Linked DNA regions of Saccharomyces cerevisiae S288C. Changing the gene in region 3 together with the main gene of any one other region gives a genetic interaction. Each region holds a gene or a part of one and is shown on either strand. Other genes may lie near its edges. The genes, in order: TMN2, ACO2, SEC59 and GND1.

Region 1 (5,563 bases), on a different chromosome or scaffold from region 3:
CTTTACCACGTTGTATTCGTGAGCAGTTTTCGTATGTGGCTAATGCCCTTTCGATAAGAGGATTTATATCGTTTTTGATCATTTTCACGGTGACTATGCTCTGCGCACCCATCAATAGTGATACCGCGCACCATTCGATGCATGATGCCAGGTACTTTGGAAATGCATCTAGGTCATCCATAAGCGATTCGTATGTGGAATAAGCAGTTTTGAAGTCGGATAGCATCATAGACCAATCTGCTAACTTTCTCATCAAAAACTCAGAAGATGACGATGCGAAGTATTCATTTCCCTGGCTGTCTCTCGTTAGAGAATTATGTTGGTGATTACCATTGACAGGATTTTTATTCATAAATTTTTTGAAAAACTTTGCACCATTAAATAGCGACTTTCTTGGCTGTAAAATTGTCTCTTCCCAGAATGACACTTTTCTTTTCATGAATGGTATCATTAAATCATAAACCAAATAATCAAGCATATCATAGATCGAGTTTATCAAAGCCAGAGAGAGTGTTGTTTGAGTTGGAGCTTGAAGGAAGAAGAGAATTTCTTCAAGCGATGACATTACTGGTTGGTGTAACTGTATGACTGAATTTTCGTCGTAAATAAAAGAATCCTTCCAGAGTGCTAGTAAGATACTCTCAACAAACAACTGCTTCTTTAGTTTCTTAGCTAACGCCTGGCATTTTTCGAATTCTTCTTGGGAATCGTCATTGTAGCAGAGTAAGAAAACTGGAAGCATTTCATTTGTATTCATGAAGATAGGAAAGTTTTCAGTATTATGATTAAGATTCTTGAAATTGACTAAAAGATCTCTTGCATCCTCATAAACTTCGCCATTTGATATATCTAAAGCAATCAAGGAAAGAATAGGGTGATTAAAAGTTTCATAGGGCGATAAGTTATTTGTGGATGAAATTGCTAGTGAAAAGAAACTATGATAAATGGATTTCTTAAGAAGATTATGAGGAACCATTTCATCAGTATTTGCTGCAACCAATTTCAAATAATTATCTAAGAATACCTCTAAAGAATGGTAATTGAATAACATATCATTTGCATCTCTTGTTTCGATCAAGTCACCTAATGGCCTTGTAAACCTGATATATTGAGATTGCGTTGAATCCCTCTGGAAAAGACTATTCGACCTACTGCGACTACCTTTCTTTGATAAATTGGGCACTTCCAAATTTTTATTTTTGGGAATTGAATCCGTCGAGTCACTTGCATCACAAACCTCATGCTCATGCTGTCCAACCTTCGCTTCATTGGCTTGATCTCTATCAGAGACACAACCGCCAAAGAATCGCAGCAGCATATAGAGAGAATCTACTTTGTACGTTTCTTGAATATGTTTGTCGAAGAGAGGAGTTGAAGTAACTGTTATTACAGGAGCTATAGCATTTGAAATTATTCTTTTTGCAATCTCTGGAGGCACCGTTTCTTTACTGTTATCCAAATGGAAAAGGAGATTCATATAGTGCTCATAAGAAAAAACCATTATAAGTTACCTCAGTATCTGTAAAGCCGACTGAATAAAGAGGTACCGTTTGTTTGGGTTACTTACTCATTTTCCTACCCATCCCATCCATTGGTTTTTCTGTTATTTTGCCTAATTTTGTCCGAGGAAATTATGACTTGTTTACAGTTGAGTAAAATATGTTGGGAACCCTAAATTTACATCATAAATTTTGACAATTATATTAGTACACATATTGATAATTAATAATCGGTAATGAAACGAGGTGTTTGGTTGCTGATTTATTGCTATGCAACTTTAACTAAAGGATTTTCCTTGCCAGGCCTATCTCCCACAACATATCACTCAGGCGATGAAATCCCGCTATTGGTGAACCGCTTGACTCCATCAATTTACTTTCAGCATCAAGATGAGGAAGGTAACGATGTTTCAGGCGATAAAGAACATTTTCTTTACTCCTATGATTACTATAATAAGAGGTTTCATTTTTGTAGACCAGAGCACGTTGAGAAACAGCCTGAGTCGTTAGGTTCAGTCATATTTGGTGACAGAATTTACAATTCCCCATTCCAATTGAACATGTTAGAGGAGAAAGAGTGTGTTGCACTTTGTAAAAGCACGATTCCGGGAAAAGATGCCAAATTTATCAACACCCTTATTAAAAGTGGATTTTTCCAAAACTGGCTCGTGGATGGATTGCCAGCAGCAAGAAAGGCTTATGATAGCAGAACAAAAACAAACTATTACGGCACAGGATTTGAGTTAGGTTTTACAGATGTTAAGCAAACCGTTGACGGTAAAGCAGTTCCCAGTACGATGGAAGAGCTTACTTCAGAGGCCTCAAATGAGGATGTTATATTGGATGCTCGACTGCCCAAGAATGTTAAGCCTAATTTAGTTAAAACGGTAGAATTACCTTACTTTGTAAATCATTTTGACATTGAAGTGGAATTTCACGATCGTGGAAACGATAATTACCGAGTTGTTGGTGTCATTGTAAACCCTGTATCTATCGAAAGATCGTCACCTGGCGCGTGTTCTACAACGGGAAAACCTCTGATACTAGACGAGGATAAGGATAACGAGGTTTACTTCACTTATTCTGTTAAATTTGTTGCCTCTGATACAGTGTGGGCTACGAGATGGGATAAGTATCTACATATTTATGACCCGCAGATACAATGGTTTTCATTAATAAATTTTTCCGTTATTGTTATTTTGTTGTCATCTGTTGTAATGCATTCTCTATTACGGGCTTTGAAAAGCGATCTCGCTCGTTATAACGAACTAAACTTGGATAATGAATTCCATGAAGATTCTGGCTGGAAATTGGGCCATGGTGACGTATTTAGAACCCCATCTAAGTCGATGCTGCTATCCATTCTTGTGGGATCCGGTATGCAGTTATTTTTGATGGTCATGTGTAGCATTTTTTTTGCCGCAGTAGGTCTTGTGTCGCCTGTTTCCAGAGGATCCCTGCCAACTGTAATGTTTGTTCTTTATGCATTATTTGGATTTGTAGGATCCTACGCCTCAATGGGTGTCTACAAATTTTTTCGTGGACCCTATTGGAAGGCGAATATGATATTAACGCCAATATTACTTCCTGGAGCAATTTTTTTACTGATTGTAATAATGAACTTCTTTTTGTTATTTGCACATTCTTCAGGTGTCATCCCAGCGAGAAGCCTATTCTTTATCATTCTTCTATGGTTTTTAGTTTCTGTTCCGTTGTCGTTTGCGGGTTCAATTGTTGCTCATAAGCAGTGTAATTGGGATGAGCATCCAACTAAAACAAACCAAATCGCCAGACAGATTCCATATCAACCCTGGTACTTGAGAACAGCACAAGCAACCTTAATCGCTGGAATTTTCAGTTTCGGATCAATAGCGGTTGAGCTGTACTTCATTTACTCCAGTTTATGGTTCAACAAAATTTTTTATATGTTTGGATTTTTACTCTTTTCATTCTTATTGTTGACCTTGACAACCTCATTAGTTACCATCTTGATCACATATTACTCGTTATGTCTAGAAAACTGGCTATGGCAATGGAGAAGTTTTATTATTGGTGGTTTAGGATGTTCAATCTATACGTTCATCCACTCCATACTATTTACTAAGTTCAAGCTTGGTGGAGTTATTACTGTCGTGCTCTATCTCGGATATTCACTTATTATATCTGCATTATGTTGTGTCGTCACTGGAGCGATTGGTTTTTTTAGTAGTATGTTTTTTATTAGGAAGATATACTCTGCCATTAAAGTTGAGTGATTTCGTTATTCTCTCCACTAAAGTAAAAGAAGTGAATACGTTAGTTTTATTTTTTTTTTTTTTTTTAATTTTTTGAGAAGTGTTTTACTTCGCAATGCATTTATATCCTATATGTCCTGGCAAACTTTTTGATAAATTGGAATGCAAGTTTTAACGCGTTTTTATGTAGCACTAATACACTGTATTGAAGATTTTTTTTTCTTTCACAATTTGGAAACGATTATATTGGATATATATTAGAAGTTTTCCTCGAGGATATAAGAAATCCGCAAAAGGGAATCAACAATTCTATATAACAACATTATTCTCTCTCCGTTTATATTTTATATTAAATTCATTATCTTATTAAATTATCAATTCTTGCACTTCAGCTTCCATTAAATCCGATAATTGTTATGAAGTCTTCTAACAACTCATTCGACATTAATAATAAAGAATATTATTCGATATATTTATTTATTTTTATTCCGGCAATAATAAATCTGAAAACGAGTTACTCTTTCAAATGACATGATAGTTATCAAATCCAAATTCTTTAGGAGAGTGTGTAATTAGGTGAAATATTAATGGTTAACTTTCTGTTGTATTACGGGCTCGAGTAATACCGGAGTGTCTTGACAATCCTAATATAAACAGTCTTAGGGAAGTAACCAGTTGTCAAAACAGTTTATCAGATTAATTCACGGAATGTTACTTATCTTATATATTATATAAAATATGAATCATACTAAGTGGTGGAAGCGCGGAATCTCGGATCTAAACTAATTGTTCAAGCATTTATACGTTTGGGTAGTTCAGCTAGGGAAGGCCGTGTTTTATCTCATGTTGTTCGTTTTGTTATAAGGTTGTTTCATATGTGTTTTATGAACGTTTAGGATGACGTATTGTCATACTGACATATCTCATTTTGAGATACAACACTTTCGATCCAAATTGGTCTCTTGGCCCAGTTGGTTAAGGCACCGTGCTAATAACGCGGGGATCAGCGGTTCGATCCCGCTAGAGACCATTTTTATTTTTTCTCCTCTATTGTTAAAAATAGCTCTTTACTATCATAAACTTTTACATCAAAAGCTCAATAAGGCTAATTGTTGTGGAAAGACGCAGTTTGGTGAAGAGAACACTTCCTGTTTTTGTTTTCTACATATACATAAAGCCTATTGTAAGCGCTTCACTCCAGTTCTGAAGTAATAATCAAACCAATCAGGAGCAATATGAGGATTGTTATAAAACTCATCTCTTTCTATTCCTACAATGTTGCTCCCCTTATAGTGCAGAAGTATTTTCGCGCATGCAGAACCAGCCTGCCAGTAATTTTTAGGAAACTGGATTTTGGACGTATCCATTTTTAACTTGAATAAATTCCTTATTACTGTTTCATACGCCTCTTCAATGTTTACTATAATGATATTTTCTCTCAGTGGCCTTCTCAAGTCGATAGGAAGTGACTCTACAATATTTTTGACAAGATTTATTACCGGGGTTTCATCTACTTCACAATTTTTAGAGTTGTATTCTTCGTCAAAAAATATTGGCATGTAGAGACTGCCCGGGAGAGGAATTCTTGACTCAACCTGTCTTTTGCCTCGTTTTGAGTATTTTATGAACTGTTGCAAAGGTCTAAGGTCGAAAATAGGTACGCATGTAGTATAATTGGTACCTATATCTATAACTATGGCATTCCTTGTATTACAGGATAAGCAGTGCACAATGGCCCTGGGGACAAACGAAACGTGAGCGCAGTCAAATTCCTTAAACAAGATGCTACAAATAATTCTTTTCTCTACTACAGAAATGAAGATATCTTCT
Region 2 (6,162 bases), on a different chromosome or scaffold from region 3:
ATAAAGCCAAACCTCTAATCCCAATTGAATTAATTCCGTTACCAATTGTTGATGATCTAAAGTTCACAAGTGAAACATTCCGCAAAATTATTAAATTCAACCAATACCAGGACCTCTTTATGGTCATAATTCCTTTTTTTAATAGGATCATAGCGCATGGTGAATCGACTAAACATGATTCAAGGACCCTAAGTAAAGCTTTAACTCCGGCGTTATGTAAGGAAAAACTTTCCATGATGACTAATGATCGTTTAGCTATTGGGTCGAGATATATTAAAAATTTACTGGACTTTTTCCCCGAAATCGCGAAGGAAATATCATCACCTCCTTCATCCGTATCATCGTCTTCTACTATCCCTGTTTTGCCTAAGCCAAGGAAGTCGTCGCCAACCAGATACAGTGAACTAGGCTGCTTAACCCTTCCTAGAAGTCGAAGCCCTAGTCCACAAAGATCTGTTACGTCTCCAACGTACACACCTGTCGCATTACAAAATACACCAGTCTTGAAACCTAAGTCTTCAAGCAGAAATGTTTCATCCCCATCATTCAATGCCAAACCTCCACTTCCTATTAAGGCAGTTACACGACCACAACTGTCTCTAACTTCCAATTCTAATACAGATTTGGCATTAGCTTCTTCTTCTACAGATACATTATCCTCACCGACGAAGACTCCATCAGCAGACTCGCTTCCATTGAGTAACAGCAGCACCGATTTAACGATATCAGATAATATCAAAGAAATGGTTAAGGACGAGCCAGCAAAGGATAAAAATTCTGTGGAAACAGATATATTCGTACAACAGTTTGAAAGTTTAACCCTCGTCCAAAACGCGAAGATTAAGAAGTTCGACAAAGAACTACAAGAAAAGAAGAAGAAAAATGAAACTACTTCAAAGACAGCAGATAAATTCTCTCAAAAGGGATATTCAGATATTAAAGCAAGCAACAAGGTTAGCAGGCTAGCTGCATTGTACGAAGAACGTTTACAAGGTTTACAAGTAATGAATGAAATGAAACAAAGGTGGTAACTTACATAATTGTATCTTTTTAACACATACATATTGCATATACGACAACAAAATACCCCCCACCCTTGAGTTAAGCCGTAGTTGAAGCAGTCGAGATCTCGTGTATAATATTATATATCAAACAATATTACGTTTTTTATAGTAAATAAATAAATAAATAGGTAGGTTATTTGCACCGTCTATATGCAGAGTCTATAGAATTGTGTAAACTAGCTTATGACTATTAAATCGGACTCTTAATTTTTAGCTAATATCTCTTCAGAATTTATTCGTTTCTTCGTATATTACCAATATAATTGATTGCTGAACCAGCTTTGAAAAAATCGATTTGATCTTTAGACATAGTATGTTTTGCCTTGATGGTGAACGATTCACCGTTTGGTTTAGTAATTTTAACATCAATTTCACCACCGTTATTACCATCCTTAGCAATCATGTCAACTAGGTTCAACGTTTCTAAAACATCTCCGCTTGATATTTTATCATAGTCAGATTCGTTGGCAAAAGTCAATGGCAACACACCTTGTTTCTTCAAGTTTGTCTCATGAATTCTTGCAAAAGACTTAACTAAAAGAATCTCTCCGCCTAAAAATCTTGGTGACAAAGCAGCATGCTCTCTTGCGGAACCTTCACCATAGTTATGTTCCGCTATCACGGTCCATGGTCTACCGTCTGATTTCCATTTCATCATCAAACCAGGAATATCATATTCAGTTCCGTCAAGGTCATAAGCCTTGTTGACTTCACCGGTTTCTTTGTTTTGTGCACCAATCAATGTATTGTAAGAAATGTTTTCTAGATGGCCTTTATATTTCAACCAGACGCCCGCAGCGGAAATATGATCTGTTGTACATTTACCTTCAACTTTCAAAAGCACGTTTGTCTTCAATTCCTTCCCGTTCCAAGGTTTGAATGGCTCTAATAATTGCAAACGATCAGAATTAGGGTCTACCTTAATCTCTACATTGCTATCTGGCTTTGGATCCATTTCAGGATAAAATTTGTCTCTACCGTGTTCAAATCCTCTTTTTGGTAACTCATCACCCTTTGGTGGTTGGAATTTGAAATCCTTCCCATTTGGCAATTTAATTGAGTCAGTTAGCGGATTGAACTGAGCATCTCCAGAATAACTCATCGCTGTTACTATTTCTGGGGATGTTAAGAAATTCATTGTATTCCTATTACCATCGTTTCTAGCTCTGAAATTTCTATTGAATGATGTAAAAATAGTGTTCGTTTCTTTTGATGTTTTCGAGACATCTTCCCTATTCCATTGTCCGATACAAGGGCCGCATGCATTTGCTAAAACTTTGGCACCATTTTCTTGGAAAATATCGATGATTCCATCTCTTTCCAAGGTAGCTCTAATTTGTTCTGAACCAGGGGTGACAAAGAAGGGGATACGTGGTTTCAAGCCGGCTTTGGAAGCTTGCTTGACCAAGTCGACAACACGACTCATGTCTTGATAAGATGAATTGGTACATGATCCAATCAAACCAGCGCTAACTTTTTGGGGCCAGTTTTCCTTCAAACTTTTTTCGGCATATTGAGATATTGGGGTTGAAAGGTCTGGTGTAAATGGACCATTAACGTGAGGTTCAATTGCGGATAAGTCAATTTCAATAACTTTATCGTATTGAGCATCTTTGTCGGCTCTTAAGAAGTTAAACTTGTTTAAAGCAACATCAGCTGCTTCAGCGACCTCTGCTCTATTAGTTGCTTGCAAATAACGCTTGTGAGCTTCTTGGTAAGGGAAAGTTGACGTTGTAGCACCGATTTCAGCTCCCATATTACAGATGGTTGCCATACCTGTGCAAGATAGAGTGGATACACCTTCGCCGAAGTACTCGACGATATAACCAGTACCACCTCTGACAGTTAGTAAACCAGCGAGCTTTGTGATTACATCTTTAGGAGTGGACCATCCGTTTAACTTTCCGGTCAATTTAACACCTAAAATTTTTGGTGCTTTTAATTCCCATGGAGTGCCTGTGAGGGCATCAACTGCATCCGCACCACCAACCCCGATGGCAATAGCTCCCAGACCGCCTGCATTTGGTGTATGGGAATCAGTACCTAGCATCATTAGACCTGGAGCTGAGAAATTTTCCAAAACAATCTGGTGAATGATACCAGAACCTGGGCCCCAGAATTGAATTCCATATCTCTTTGCGCAACTCTCCAAGAAATCGAAAACTTCTTGGTTGGTAGCTATGGAAGAGGGTAAATCTTTAGTTTCACCGTCCTTACCTACAATTAAATGATCACAATGTATGGATGCTGGGACAGATGTTTGATTTAGACCGGTGGTCATGAATTGTAGAAGCGCCATTTGGGCAGAAGCGTCCTGCATAGCTACACGGTCTGGGTTTAGCTTCAAGTATTTATTACCACGGATGGTGGACAGATCAGAAGAAGTAATCGATTCTTCAGGATCGCAAAGATGCGAGTATAAAATTTTTTCTGCTAGTGTCAATGGAGCATTGTTTGTTATTTGTTTAATCTTGTCTAGGTTGGTCAAAAGTTTTGCATAAGGTGGCACTTTTGTTTGAAAATTTTTAGATACAGAGGGGAACATATTGGCATGTGTTGCCAAATGCCTCTTTATATAAAACCTATTAGCTGAAGATAGCATCGAATCTCTTGCTTATTGCTCTTAGAGTTTTATGTTTAAAGAAAGTCGAAAATTCTTATTTTTGCAAGTGCGCAAATCGAATAATACGAAAAGATGAAAATATTTTAGTTTATATACATGTTTGATGCCATACCATCTATTGACATAATCTACGATGTGAGAGCTGTATGATATTGTGGAACTTTGTATATATTGAAAAAATTTTCCAGTGGAATTTTACTCGCGATGACTCAAGAGCGTGAAAAAAAAAAAAAAAAAAAAATTAATTGCTAAAAAATCAAATATATGCTTCCAATCGGATTTGAACCGATGATCTCCACATTACTAGTGTGGCGCCTTACCAACTTGGCCATAGAAGCTTCTATTTTATATTTGCCTGACCTATTTTAACGGTTATATTCCACAAACATTTTAATCATGAAGCAATTTTTTTGATGTTGATGTGAGAGTAATAAGCACTGTGCTGAGAAGAGGATCAACAACATGATATTCTACGGAACGTAAAGGATACAATGTTATTGGACTAAGAATCGTCTATCATCTTAAGAAATGGGTGGATGATCGGACAATTATTGAGAAGGTTTCATTGTGGAGAACAAATCGCAATATTGTGCAATCCTTTAGATATGTCAAGATAAAATACTAGGGAGGCTTCGCCCATTCATTAAAGAGTATAGCTACCGCATACTGTTTAGTAGTATACTATCACATGTGGTGTAAAAAGATAACATAAAGATTGAGAATCAGTCATCAAATGTAATGGAAGCTGAAAATGCAAGGATTGATAGTGTAATAGGAACGAAACATATGAAAACGGAATGAGGAATAGTCGTATTATTAGTATGTATAGATTCCATTTGAGAATTCTTATATCCTCGAGGGGAACTTCTAGTATATTCTGTATACATAATATTGTAGCCTCTATCAACAACGGAATCCCAACAATTATCTCAAAACTCACTTATATCTCACAAAACACTCAATAGCGACCCTTAAATGTTACTGAACCTCATATTGTTTCGCTCTGCTCCCTTATATATTGTTAATGCAATCGGGACAGCTCACTGACTGAACGGTGAATAGTGGCTCCCGGAAAGCTGAGAGTTGTGAACTCGCCACCTCTGTTAAGTAAGTCGTAAGCTGTTAAAGCTGCGTCACGAGTAATGAGCTGCCAGTTCGGCCTCTGATCGCTGTACTTTATGGTAAAAAGATAGTTCCTAGTAGAAGACGAGTCATACTCGTAAACAAGCACCGCTGGATACTCTTCTCTATCAAGACGTAAAGCGTACTTGTAATCTCTAAGTTCGCCAATCCAAATTTCTGATATGCCACTCATTATCCTCACCCCACATGCTGACACCTTATACATTCAATATCTCCCTTCTCCTACTTAACCTTATGTTACCCTTTTTTTTTGGCTTGCATTTATATTTGGTTTACATAGCAACAACCGATAGCGGGTAACAGCATTAAGCTTCCCATCTCCCGTTCACTGTTATTACCTTTGGCACGTAAAGGGCCGGCTAATAATGTCGTATTTCCACTGATTTGGATGTATGTTGCATGGTGCTAGATTGTGAATAAATCATTTCCACTGGTTTCTAGCAGAGGTAAGAAAATCAGTAGTAGCGGCAGCAGCCAAGAAAAATGGCAGCCTGGCAAGCAGCGAAGGCCATCTGTGCTGCATTTCCACACTCCTTGTATGACTGCATACGCATAAAGAGGTGCCTTGCTGTAGGCGTATATGATCCTAAGCAACAGAGAAACCACGGTTCTCTTCTCTTCTTATTTCGTTATTGTCTTCCCTTTTTACTATGGGTAAAGTCGCCCTAAAGCGGGGCGCTCACAATATCGCCGCAGCTACAGCCGTTTTTTTTTTTTTTGTTTTTTTTTGCGCTGCTTCTCGAAGAATGAATGGCTCACTGAAAAATTTTGATTCATCGATATAAAGAACACTGTTCACTTCGATGTCATCCGGCCAATAAAGTTGTTTTTAGGATAAACGAGTAAGTGGTAGCTGGTACAGGATCATGAGATTTTCACACTTCTTGAAGTACAATGCTGTCCCAGAATGGCAAAACCATTATATGGACTACAGCGAGCTGAAAAATCTTATTTACACGCTACAAACAGATGAACTTCAGGTTGGTGATAACGAAGAAGGATTTGGCGCAGGAAAGAGCTCTAACATTACAGATAGGTTCAAAAACAAGTTTTCTTTTAAAAATGCGAAGGAAGATACGTCTTCCGGTATGAACAAAGATGCAGGCATCGTTGAGGAAACCATCGAGTTGCGAGAGTTGCCTACTGCTCAGACGGTCGCTGCCAAACCTTCTCCTTTCAGAAGAATGAAGGAAAAGATATTTTACAAAAGAAGGTCGTCTTCCGCATCGTCCGTCTCCTCCACGGCCAACGAAAATCTGCAATTAGACACTTATGATACGTTTGTTGGTGATTTAACAGCTGAAAAACAGAAAGTAGATGATTTTTATAAGA
Region 3 (4,976 bases):
TCTTTGTCCAAAGTTTTCAACTCTAAAGAGTTTAACAGTTTTTCAATTTTCTTTTTGTTCTTTTTACCTATACAATTGTATAATTTGGCAGTTTTTGGATATCTTGGTTCAAACTTCTGTAATGATTTTGTCAAATAATGGTACTGATACTCCAACTGATCAAGCTTGTAGATAGAGACGGATGATTCGGAAGGCATGTTTCCTTTGGGTTATCCGTACACTTGACCTCTTTATACGTATATACTGGTTAAATTGCTTAAAGTAGTCATTCATACACTAAATGCACACAGTGATGAGGTAGATGAGATGAAAATTTTTGCCATATGGGCCATGTAATGTCTGGGTGTTGCTTTAATCGATCACTAACAGATGAAAAAGGTAGAATGGATAAAATACTTAAAGAATTTTATATGGCTTGTGATCAGACTGACGTGCAAATCATTTGATGAGACGTTTTCTTCATTGATGTTCTCAAGAAAATATATAGCTCAAGAAGTTGTCATCACATCACAATTAGTTATAATTAACGCAAGAGAAAATTTACTCAAGTTAATATATTTGAACTCAAATATATTGAAGAGATTAGAGTCGTCCAAATAGTCAGCATTACAATGGTTCGCTTGACCCAATTTCTAAATTTGCTAAAAATATTAAAGCTCAGTACCACGCCCTGTCACAGGCGAAATATCATCAAAGTTAATCGATAAACATTCGAAAAACGCAGTTGACCGTCGTGAAATGTGGAAATCATCATAAACAATTTTTGAAATTGGAGAAAAGTTAAAAACCTTGAAACAGTTTGTACGATCTCTCATCTCTCTCAGATAAATTTTCTAGTTTAAATTGCATCAGACACTAATTGCTCTTTTCAATCATGAAGATCAGACATATGCTTGTCTATTTGAGTAATTTGTTTCATCTTCTGCAGCATTGACGTCTCTAAGGTAGAAATTTTCTTTAAAAAACATGGAAGCAATACAGACACATCAACTGATGAACTAGTTATCTGTCGATTTTTTTCTATTTCCAAATTCTTTGCTAATCGAAAAGAATAATGTAAACAGCTTCAGAAAGGCATGAATGGTAATTTTAATAGTTGTGTCTTCACGAATGATCAGACTCGTCATCTATAAATATCTCATCATAAAAACCAATTCACATAATTATACGAAAATGAGAAAAAAATCCATTCTTCCCTATAGAAAATTCTGTTAGCCCTCAGAAAAACTTACAATGGATCAGTTGCGCGGGTTTTCTAGGCCCGCTAAAGCATTGTCACTCATTTGAAAGGATATTTGTTTCCCCCTCAGTGCCCAGTGCTGTGGATCCTCATTTCCATTGTATCAAATAGATCGAAAACATCAATCTACGGAAGAATAGCACTAAAAAACTACTGTTTTCTAAGCTTAAATGTATTCTTCCAATTTATGGAAATGTGTCAACTTTCTAGTATTTATTTTAAAGGTGTTTGCTAGGTCAGGATAGTGCAAAAACGTATCAACATATACTCGTTCAGCCAGTAATTCCAGCTTTTGTTTTTGTTATAATCATCATATGAACAAACACCTTTGAATAAATATGGAATAAAAAGAAAATTGAAATGGGTGTGGTAAATGAAAGGAGAGCAGAGAAATTGAAGAAATACTACTGTATTTCTATTTAGACTTTTCCTTTCAGTTTTTTCTTCTTTATTGCTAATTAAAAACCTCAGAAATAAGAATAAACGTTCTAATCACAAAAGATTCAGAAACTCTAGTTTGTAAAAATTTATTTTGGTCATCAAGGGAATAATTAGCCTGTGATAATGACAAAAGACATATCTGAAAAACTAACTTTGATAAAGAAGAAAAAAAGAACACGGAAAAAAACGTTTTATGGATTCAATTTCTCTCTCAGCCTTTCATAGCTCCCACTCATCTGAATATTTCTTTTGTATTGATCTTTGTGATGGAAATCATAGGATTCTAATATTGTAACTTATTAAAGAGAGGAAGCATTAATTGCCAATAACCATTTCTGCGTCTCTTATTTATACCCGAAGTAATCCTAGAAGAAAAAAAAATTTTCAGAAATGAAAAAAGTTCTAGATGTATGGGTGTGCGGGTAATGCTAAGATACGTTATTGAGGGCTGTCCGCAATGGTTGGGTTTTCAGGCACGTAATTTTCAAAAGAGTTGTACACGTTGTTAGTCAAGATGGTGAAAATGGTATCGAAGGACGTATTCTATGAAAGATAGAGTTTGTAGTAAGCCAAATATTAGAATTTAGCTAGTAAATCAGACTCCTTTCGAGGCAATAAACTGTCGTTATTCTGTTCATTGCCTATATGGTCGCTATAATACCTCATGCTTCCTTTACCACAATTAAACTAACCCAGAAAACTGAGGGAAGCCAAATGCCAACTGAGGAGATCTGCAAAATCAATATGAGGACTCGTAAATTTGATGTGGGCGGGAATTCTCGAGATTTTGAGTGCTTTTATTCGAATTTTGTTCAAACTGTTATATTGTTGGGCACTTTTTTTTACTGTGTTGAAAGGCTTCAGCCGTGGTCCATTGTTACCGCTGATATATCTTATAAACAAATCTTTGTAAATGTCTTTGTGGTGTGTTTGATAATGGTTGGTCTGATATTCACAAAATATTGGCAACATGGTTACAAAAGCCTACCCAAGTTCGATACCATTTACAGTTTATATTTACCGTTTATGGTTTCGTTGTTGTTCGATACATCATCTACGGTGATAAATACTATTTTGATCCTTTCGGTATTAAATTCATATAGATGGCGAACTCAGTTGGTAGTGATCATTTTACAGCTCTGCCTCATATTTTTTAATTTTGAGGCTGGTGACAGGTTAAAGAATATTATTAGCATAGTAATAAATTCTTTACTGTCGTTAATTTTGAAGTATATTGGGCAATTGAAAAGTTTAGATAATATCGACTCTAATCTTTTTAGTATCCTATTAACCAATATTCTGTACGTTTCAGAGGCTGGCACAGTACATTTTAGAATTTTGAAGGGCATTATCCTTGCTCTCACAACAATAATTTCAATTAACTATGTGCTCAAAAAGGTAATGCACTTTAAACCGTTTATGCTGTCAATATCCTTTGCCATCGGGCTTCCACTTTTTGCCAATACCTTCATTCATTTAGAAGACGGTGAAAATCCGCTACTTTGGCTGGTAAAATATATCTTAGAGTCTACTATTCGTCAAAAGATTTTGTTTGCTTGGTCTTCAATTCTTATACTGTCCATACCAAGTATATTGATCGAGAAGGACAGTCTATCGTTGAACACCTCCCGAAAATTGTGGCATTTCATCATTTTCTTACTCATAATACCGTCATTCCAAATGGATTCAAACTTTGTGAAAATTGCATTGTCCGGAACAATACCAGTCTTCTTATCAATTGAGTACATAAGATTTCAAAACCTACCGCCGTTAGGATCTGCTATTGAATTACAACTAAGAAGGTTTGCTGATGATAGGGACCACAGCGGGCCATTGATCATATCATACCTTTATTTACTCTTCGGAATATCAACACCTTTATTAATGAATAACTCTCCAATGGGTCTAATAGGATTGGGAATTGGTGATTCCTTAGCATCTATTATTGGTAAAAGGTATGGCCGCATTCGTTGGAAAGGTACACAAAAAACTTTAGAGGGAACTCTTGCGTTTATAGTAACGAGTTTTATCGTTTGTTTGGTATTGTTACGTTTTGATAAAGCTGCAATTTTTAACCACCTAACTACTTTACAATTGCTTACCCTTTGTACACTGAGTGGAGTGCTAGAAGGTAATAGTGTGCTTAATGACAATATTTTGATACCTGCATTTATGATGATTTGTGAAAAATTAATTACTCTTTGACAAAGTCAATTATTTTCAACTTTTAAAATTACATAACTAATTGTTTGCATTTATGAATAGAATAAAGAAAAGAATAGAGCAGTAAAGAAAAAAAAATAATTGTAAGTATTTTTTTTTCGTTTTATATCTAGTACTTACACGTAGTATATACAAGTATGGGCTATAGATATAAAGAAAAATAATAAATAAACGAGATTGTTAAGTTAGCTCTCTATTTCTTACCATGCTTCTTTTTATTGTTGGTTTTGTTTTTGCTCTTAGAGTTGGAAGAATCGCCTTCTATAAATGTTAACAACTCATCCACACTTTTGTTAGCCAATTCAGGTTTAACGTCATCCTTCTTTTGACGGTGATTGGTTTTTTTATGGCCAGCTGAATTTGATCCCGTTGTCGACATTTGATCTTGTGCAAGTTGCTTCTTTTGTTTTAAATCCATTATTAATGAGCTTAAACCATTAACCCACTGTCTTGATTGGGCTGAGTGCGTGTGATTCATACCCAATTGCTTGGTGAAAATCCCTTGGGTTACAGTGATGTGCTCTAATGCACGGTGGAAATCCTTCAATGCTGCAAACAAATTACCTAAACGTGACTCGGTATAGCCATATGCTAATGAATCTTTGCCTTCTAATTCCACAACATAGGAGCTTAGTTGTCCCAAGACTTCAATAGCCAATTTGGTATCTTGAACACCTAGGGCTAATTGTTCCAAATGGTTGAAAATGCTTGTGGGGGCTGGGTGATGGATTTTTGGTAACTCATAAACTTTTAGGATTTCTGCGAGCCTATTATAAACCACAGTAGCGTTATAAGGACTTTCATTAGAGAATTCTAGAATTGCTAAATTAGTTAAAGCCCTCATCATTTCAAAAGAATCAATACCGCTAACTCTTTCATAAATAGTACATGCTTTACGACAGAACGCGATAGCTTCAGGGTATAATGCTAACTTATTATAAATGGCAGATAATGACAAGTACTTTTCAGCAACGGCGGGATGTAAAATATTGTTAACATCTTCTAAGACTGTAATTGATTGAGCGAGTAAAGTCAAAGCACTTTGTTTGTCTTCGTTGATCATAGAAGCACC
Region 4 (5,157 bases), on a different chromosome or scaffold from region 3:
AACGAACAACCAGCCAAAATTTCGTAAAAGGGCTGTTGGGTTAGCTCGTGTAGTCATCAACTCGGTAAGGAAGTACATCTACTCTCTAGCCCGTGTATTCGGTTATGAGATAGAACCTGACTTTGATAGATTGGCTGTTTAGGATTGCCTTTTTTTTTAACATGTAGTTAGTTTTTCTTTATTTGAATATTCTAAATAAGAAATATGTGTAATGCTCTGCCAACTATTTTGCACAGGAAAGAAAAATCACCAATACAATACTACTATATTTTACCCAAGTTAATACGGGAAAGTATATTTTCTTTTCCATATTTTTCTTTTTTATTGACGTTTGCATTTTTTAGAGCAACTAGTAAACAAAAAACCAGTCAGGCCCAGTAGATTAAGTATTGTCATTACATAGACAAAGGCAAGAGAAAGAGAGCATTTTCTTTCGGTCTCTAGTTATGTCTGTTAAAGAGCATAACGAAGAAGATATTATTGGTGATGAATTACAGAATTCGAGGCAACTCTCCATTGATTGCGACTCAGTTAAAATTTCACTAAGGAACACATATTGGACCAAAGACTATACAACAGGTATCAAATTATTCATAAAACATATGAAGAGAGAAAATGATTTGCTGATTAAAGACATCAAATTTTACAATGATTTTGTCAACAAATTTTGGAAACCAACATTGAACAATTTACAAAAAATGGAAGCAACCAATTCAATGAATAGCAGGCTGCTGGAAGTGATGAGCAAACAGTTTAATATAATATCAACAGAGCAAGTTGAAAGAGATTGTAAAATTCCATTGCAAGAACTAAGAGATCTTAATGAGAGCTTCCTTCGTGAGGCAGAAAACGATTTGTCATCTCGTTATTCAGCTTACATTAAGGATTTAGTCGCAGCTAAAGAGGCACTAATTGGATGTGAGAAAAGAGTTCAGTCTATATATAAATTGAAAAAAGCCAATACGCCAGTGGAAAATTCTTCCTCTGTTTTTGATAATGGAAAGGATAGTGCACCGTTAACCAGGTTGAACTTCGTATGCGAGTTTCCTTACACTTTAGACGAGAGGTTAAAATTTGAGGATTGCGACCAATTTATGTCATTTTTGCAAACCTTGAAGGGAAAAGTCATCCTGGAGAAAAGTGTCTTTTCCGTTCCAGGATTGTCAAATCAAAGTTTCCAAGGCAGGTCATTGATCAAAGAATTGAAAAAACTTGAACCCAGACTAAACCTGTCCTTATTTAATATCGATAGGATAGGTAACGAATTCATCCAACTGGGTATAATACAAGAATATTCCCTGAGTTTTTACTCTAGCAAAGTTTCTCAGTTTGACCAGGAAAAATACTATTACTGGAACAGTGAAGTCCTTGCTACGCAAGAGAGTAATGGTAATGCTGGAAACAGAAAAAAAAAATCGTATGGTGAGTTAACACACTCCGACAATGAACACGAAGAAAAGTCCAACGTTTCATCTATCAAAACATCTATATCCGATTGGATCCGCAAAGTTAGTCAACATGATAATGATGATTGCGATGCAGCGGGAAGTACAGATATGAATAAAAATGAGTGGAAGAGTTTAAAACAGCAACTTGAATCATCACAAGATATTTTTTTCTCCAAGTGTTGCCAGTTGGAATATTCTAAAGTGCAGTTGGAAAAAACCATTTATGATTATTGTAAAAATTACTCTAAAATGGAGGACGGAATCAAACGAGCTCTAGAATCATCAAACATGATGTTTCAACAAAAATGTGAAAAATTTACTGACTCACCTGTGTGTTCTCTACAAGAAGCACAACTGCCACAGGAAACTGCCAATGCGGATGTAAGAGGGTTTTTCCTCAGGGATAATGGCATACCCTTTCGCAGGTGGAATATCCTAGAAGCGAGTGATCCAGTCGACGCTTGCAAAGAAATCTCCATAAAAAGCGAAAAGTTTTTCTGTGGTAGTGAAATAAATAATGAACTGGCTGCTCTTGATACGTTAGGGGCAATAAAGATTATACTGCGGCAGATTGAAAAGGAACCAAATGCTAATAAAGTCATACAAAGTTGGCACAGGGATATTGATTTTGTAAGGGTTTCTAATTTGAAAAGAGACTTATTGGGGGAATTCAAAGGATCGAAAACTACCGAAAATACAAACTCTATAATCACTGCTCATTTTTTTGAAAACTCGCACAGCTATGTCACTAATGATCTCGTCGGACTGATAAAATTATGGCTGTTAGAGCTACCCGACAGCCTAATACCTTCAAACCACTACGATGACTTAATTAAGGCCGAAAAATCGCTAACATCCCTATGTGAACAGTTTCCGACGAGCTCCTTAAGGTTTCTACAAGAACTAGCAAACCATTTTCAATTGATCAATAGCAAATACTCACTTCCGCCGCAAACAATACAAGATTTGTTTAGAGACAACAGTGACATAGACATACCATTGGCCCATCACTTCGTAAGAAGAACAGGCTTACAGAACCCTATCGACATCAAAATCTTGTCACCAACATTATCTACATTTTTCATCAACGAAAGAACTGTAGAAACTTTGCAAACGTTGATCGCAAACAGGATCACGACGGCAACTACTGCGACACTCACTGAACCGCCGACGATAATTATAAAGGATACAACGGCACCTATACACTCTACCCCTAAGCCACCGCCAAACGACAAGGATGGCCATTTCATACCTCGGCCATTCAAGACTAGTTCTACTCCGACAACCCCAGAGAGACCTAAACGTAAGAGTGGTTTATTCCTTCCCATCAACGTCAACGATGTCCCTTCTACATAACTCCATGCATGCTACATAGTAACTACGTAAATCACCTGCTACCTCTCTGTTCTTTCGTCCCGCCTCGAGGTTGTGCTGCTTTTGTACCTATTGTGGCTGTCGGTGTTACATTACGGTGCCTCGGTGTTACGCGGTGCTTCGTCCTGGTGGTCCACGCGGCCTTGCGCTTTGGCCTTGGTGGGCTTCGAGGCTGTATTATATAAATGGGCCTGATGTTCGTTAAAAGCTGCAGTATTGTTCCTGAGCTTGTTTCTTTTTCAAAGGTTTCCTTTTTTCTTAGTGGGGTCCTTTCTTACATAATAAAGTAAATAGCCTGATACATATAAACCTGTATTGTTGCCATTACAGAAAAAAGCCACTTTCTATACAAAAACTACAATAAAATGTCTGCTGATTTCGGTTTGATTGGTTTGGCCGTCATGGGTCAAAATTTGATCTTGAACGCTGCTGACCACGGTTTCACTGTTTGTGCTTACAACAGAACTCAATCCAAGGTCGACCATTTCTTGGCCAATGAAGCTAAGGGCAAATCTATCATCGGTGCTACTTCCATTGAAGATTTCATCTCCAAATTGAAGAGACCTAGAAAGGTCATGCTTTTGGTTAAAGCTGGTGCTCCAGTTGACGCTTTGATCAACCAAATCGTCCCACTTTTGGAAAAGGGTGATATTATCATCGATGGTGGTAACTCTCACTTCCCAGATTCTAATAGACGTTACGAAGAATTGAAGAAGAAGGGTATTCTTTTCGTTGGTTCTGGTGTCTCCGGTGGTGAGGAAGGTGCCCGTTACGGTCCATCTTTGATGCCAGGTGGTTCTGAAGAAGCTTGGCCACATATTAAGAACATCTTCCAATCCATCTCTGCTAAATCCGACGGTGAACCATGTTGCGAATGGGTTGGCCCAGCCGGTGCTGGTCACTACGTCAAGATGGTTCACAACGGTATTGAATACGGTGATATGCAATTGATTTGTGAAGCTTATGACATCATGAAGAGATTGGGTGGGTTTACCGATAAGGAAATCAGTGACGTTTTTGCCAAATGGAACAATGGTGTCTTGGATTCCTTCTTGGTCGAAATTACCAGAGATATTTTGAAATTCGACGACGTCGACGGTAAGCCATTAGTTGAAAAAATCATGGATACTGCTGGTCAAAAGGGTACTGGTAAGTGGACTGCCATCAACGCCTTGGATTTGGGTATGCCAGTTACTTTGATTGGTGAAGCTGTCTTTGCCCGTTGTCTATCTGCTTTGAAGAACGAGAGAATTAGAGCCTCCAAGGTCTTACCAGGCCCAGAAGTTCCAAAAGACGCCGTCAAGGACAGAGAACAATTTGTCGATGATTTGGAACAAGCTTTGTATGCTTCCAAGATTATTTCTTACGCTCAAGGTTTCATGTTGATCCGTGAAGCTGCTGCTACTTATGGCTGGAAACTAAACAACCCTGCCATCGCTTTGATGTGGAGAGGTGGTTGTATCATTAGATCTGTTTTCTTGGGTCAAATCACAAAGGCCTACAGAGAAGAACCAGATTTGGAAAACTTGTTGTTCAACAAGTTCTTCGCTGATGCCGTCACCAAGGCTCAATCTGGTTGGAGAAAGTCAATTGCGTTGGCTACCACCTACGGTATCCCAACACCAGCCTTTTCCACCGCTTTGTCTTTCTACGATGGGTACAGATCTGAAAGATTGCCAGCCAACTTACTACAAGCTCAACGTGACTACTTTGGTGCTCACACTTTCAGAGTGTTGCCAGAATGTGCTTCTGACAACTTGCCAGTAGACAAGGATATCCATATCAACTGGACTGGCCACGGTGGTAATGTTTCTTCCTCTACATACCAAGCTTAAAGGAAATCTCCAACCTGGACATAAACCAAAAAAATTTAATGAAATAGATTAGTTATAGTAAAAGTAATCATAATAATAAATAGATAAATAAATCCAAATGCAATTATAAATAGTATATGAAGTTATGTGTTTTCTAAAATATTAAAGGTTTATAAACGGGGTCCCGAAACTATCTCCATTTCTTTTTTTTTTTTTACGTAAGGAAAGGCAAACAGGCGACACAAAATCATGAAGTCAGAAAATAAAATAAAAGTGAAAAATTTCACAATAGTGCCTATTATCATGATAGAAGTAGAGTAGAAAAGCTAGCAACAATGAGAAGCTCTGGCACATATGAGAATGATCCTTCTGGGGAAATAACCTCAACTTCCCCAAAGCAGTCGAAGCAGAAAAAGCCTACCAAATTTAGGGAAAGAATGCGCAGGTGGTTACAAAATGGGAAAAATAACAACCACCAAGGAGAGGAGGATGTTCCTGAAATATTTAACAAGAATTTTTAT

What was found.
Region 1: mutations in SEC59 (region 3) and TMN2 together harm fitness more than expected from each alone (negative genetic interaction), as found in Saccharomyces cerevisiae (one large-scale study listed by BioGRID).
Region 2: mutations in SEC59 (region 3) and ACO2 together harm fitness less than expected from each alone (positive genetic interaction), as found in Saccharomyces cerevisiae (one large-scale study listed by BioGRID).
Region 4: mutations in SEC59 (region 3) and GND1 together harm fitness less than expected from each alone (positive genetic interaction), as found in Saccharomyces cerevisiae (one large-scale study listed by BioGRID).

Annotation. Positions count from the first base shown.
Region 1 is NC_001136.10:667,207-672,769, reverse strand, and holds TMN2 (Tmn2p), read left to right. Parts: upstream 1-1,735; coding exon 1,736-3,754; downstream 3,755-5,563. Other genes in the region: TRS85 (Trs85p), read right to left, coding at 1-1,501; ARP10 (Arp10p), read right to left, coding at 4,912-5,563. UniProt on the Saccharomyces cerevisiae protein: With EMP70 and TMN3, plays a critical role in the late stages of a nutrient-controlled pathway notably regulating FLO11 gene expression. Acts downstream of RAS2 and TOR. Essential for cell adhesion and filamentous growth.
Region 2 is NC_001142.9:55,148-61,309, forward strand, and holds ACO2 (aconitate hydratase ACO2), read right to left. Parts: upstream 3,667-6,162; coding exon 1,297-3,666; downstream 1-1,296. Other genes in the region: ECM25 (Ecm25p), read left to right, coding at 1-1,031; MBB1 (Mbb1p), read right to left, coding at 4,709-5,035; PHO90 (SPX domain-containing inorganic phosphate transporter), read left to right, coding at 5,697-6,162. UniProt on the Saccharomyces cerevisiae protein: Catalyzes the reversible dehydration of (R)-homocitrate to cis-homoaconitate, a step in the alpha-aminoadipate pathway for lysine biosynthesis.
Region 3 is NC_001145.3:294,089-299,064, reverse strand, and holds SEC59 (dolichol kinase), read left to right. Parts: upstream 1-2,326; coding exon 2,327-3,886; downstream 3,887-4,976. Other genes in the region: BUD22 (Bud22p), read right to left, coding at 1-197; translation initiation factor 3 subunit CLU1, read right to left, coding at 4,098-4,976. UniProt on the Saccharomyces cerevisiae protein: Catalyzes CTP-mediated phosphorylation of dolichol, the terminal step in de novo dolichyl monophosphate (Dol-P) biosynthesis. Dol-P is a lipid carrier essential for the synthesis of N-linked and O-linked oligosaccharides and for GPI anchors.
Region 4 is NC_001140.6:467,773-472,929, forward strand, and holds GND1 (phosphogluconate dehydrogenase (decarboxylating) GND1), read left to right. Parts: upstream 1-3,187; coding exon 3,188-4,657; downstream 4,658-5,157. Other genes in the region: SVP26 (Svp26p), read left to right, coding at 1-142; RGD3 (Rgd3p), read left to right, coding at 447-2,804; SSP1 (Ssp1p), read left to right, coding at 4,972-5,157. UniProt on the Saccharomyces cerevisiae protein: Catalyzes the oxidative decarboxylation of 6-phosphogluconate to ribulose 5-phosphate and CO(2), with concomitant reduction of NADP to NADPH.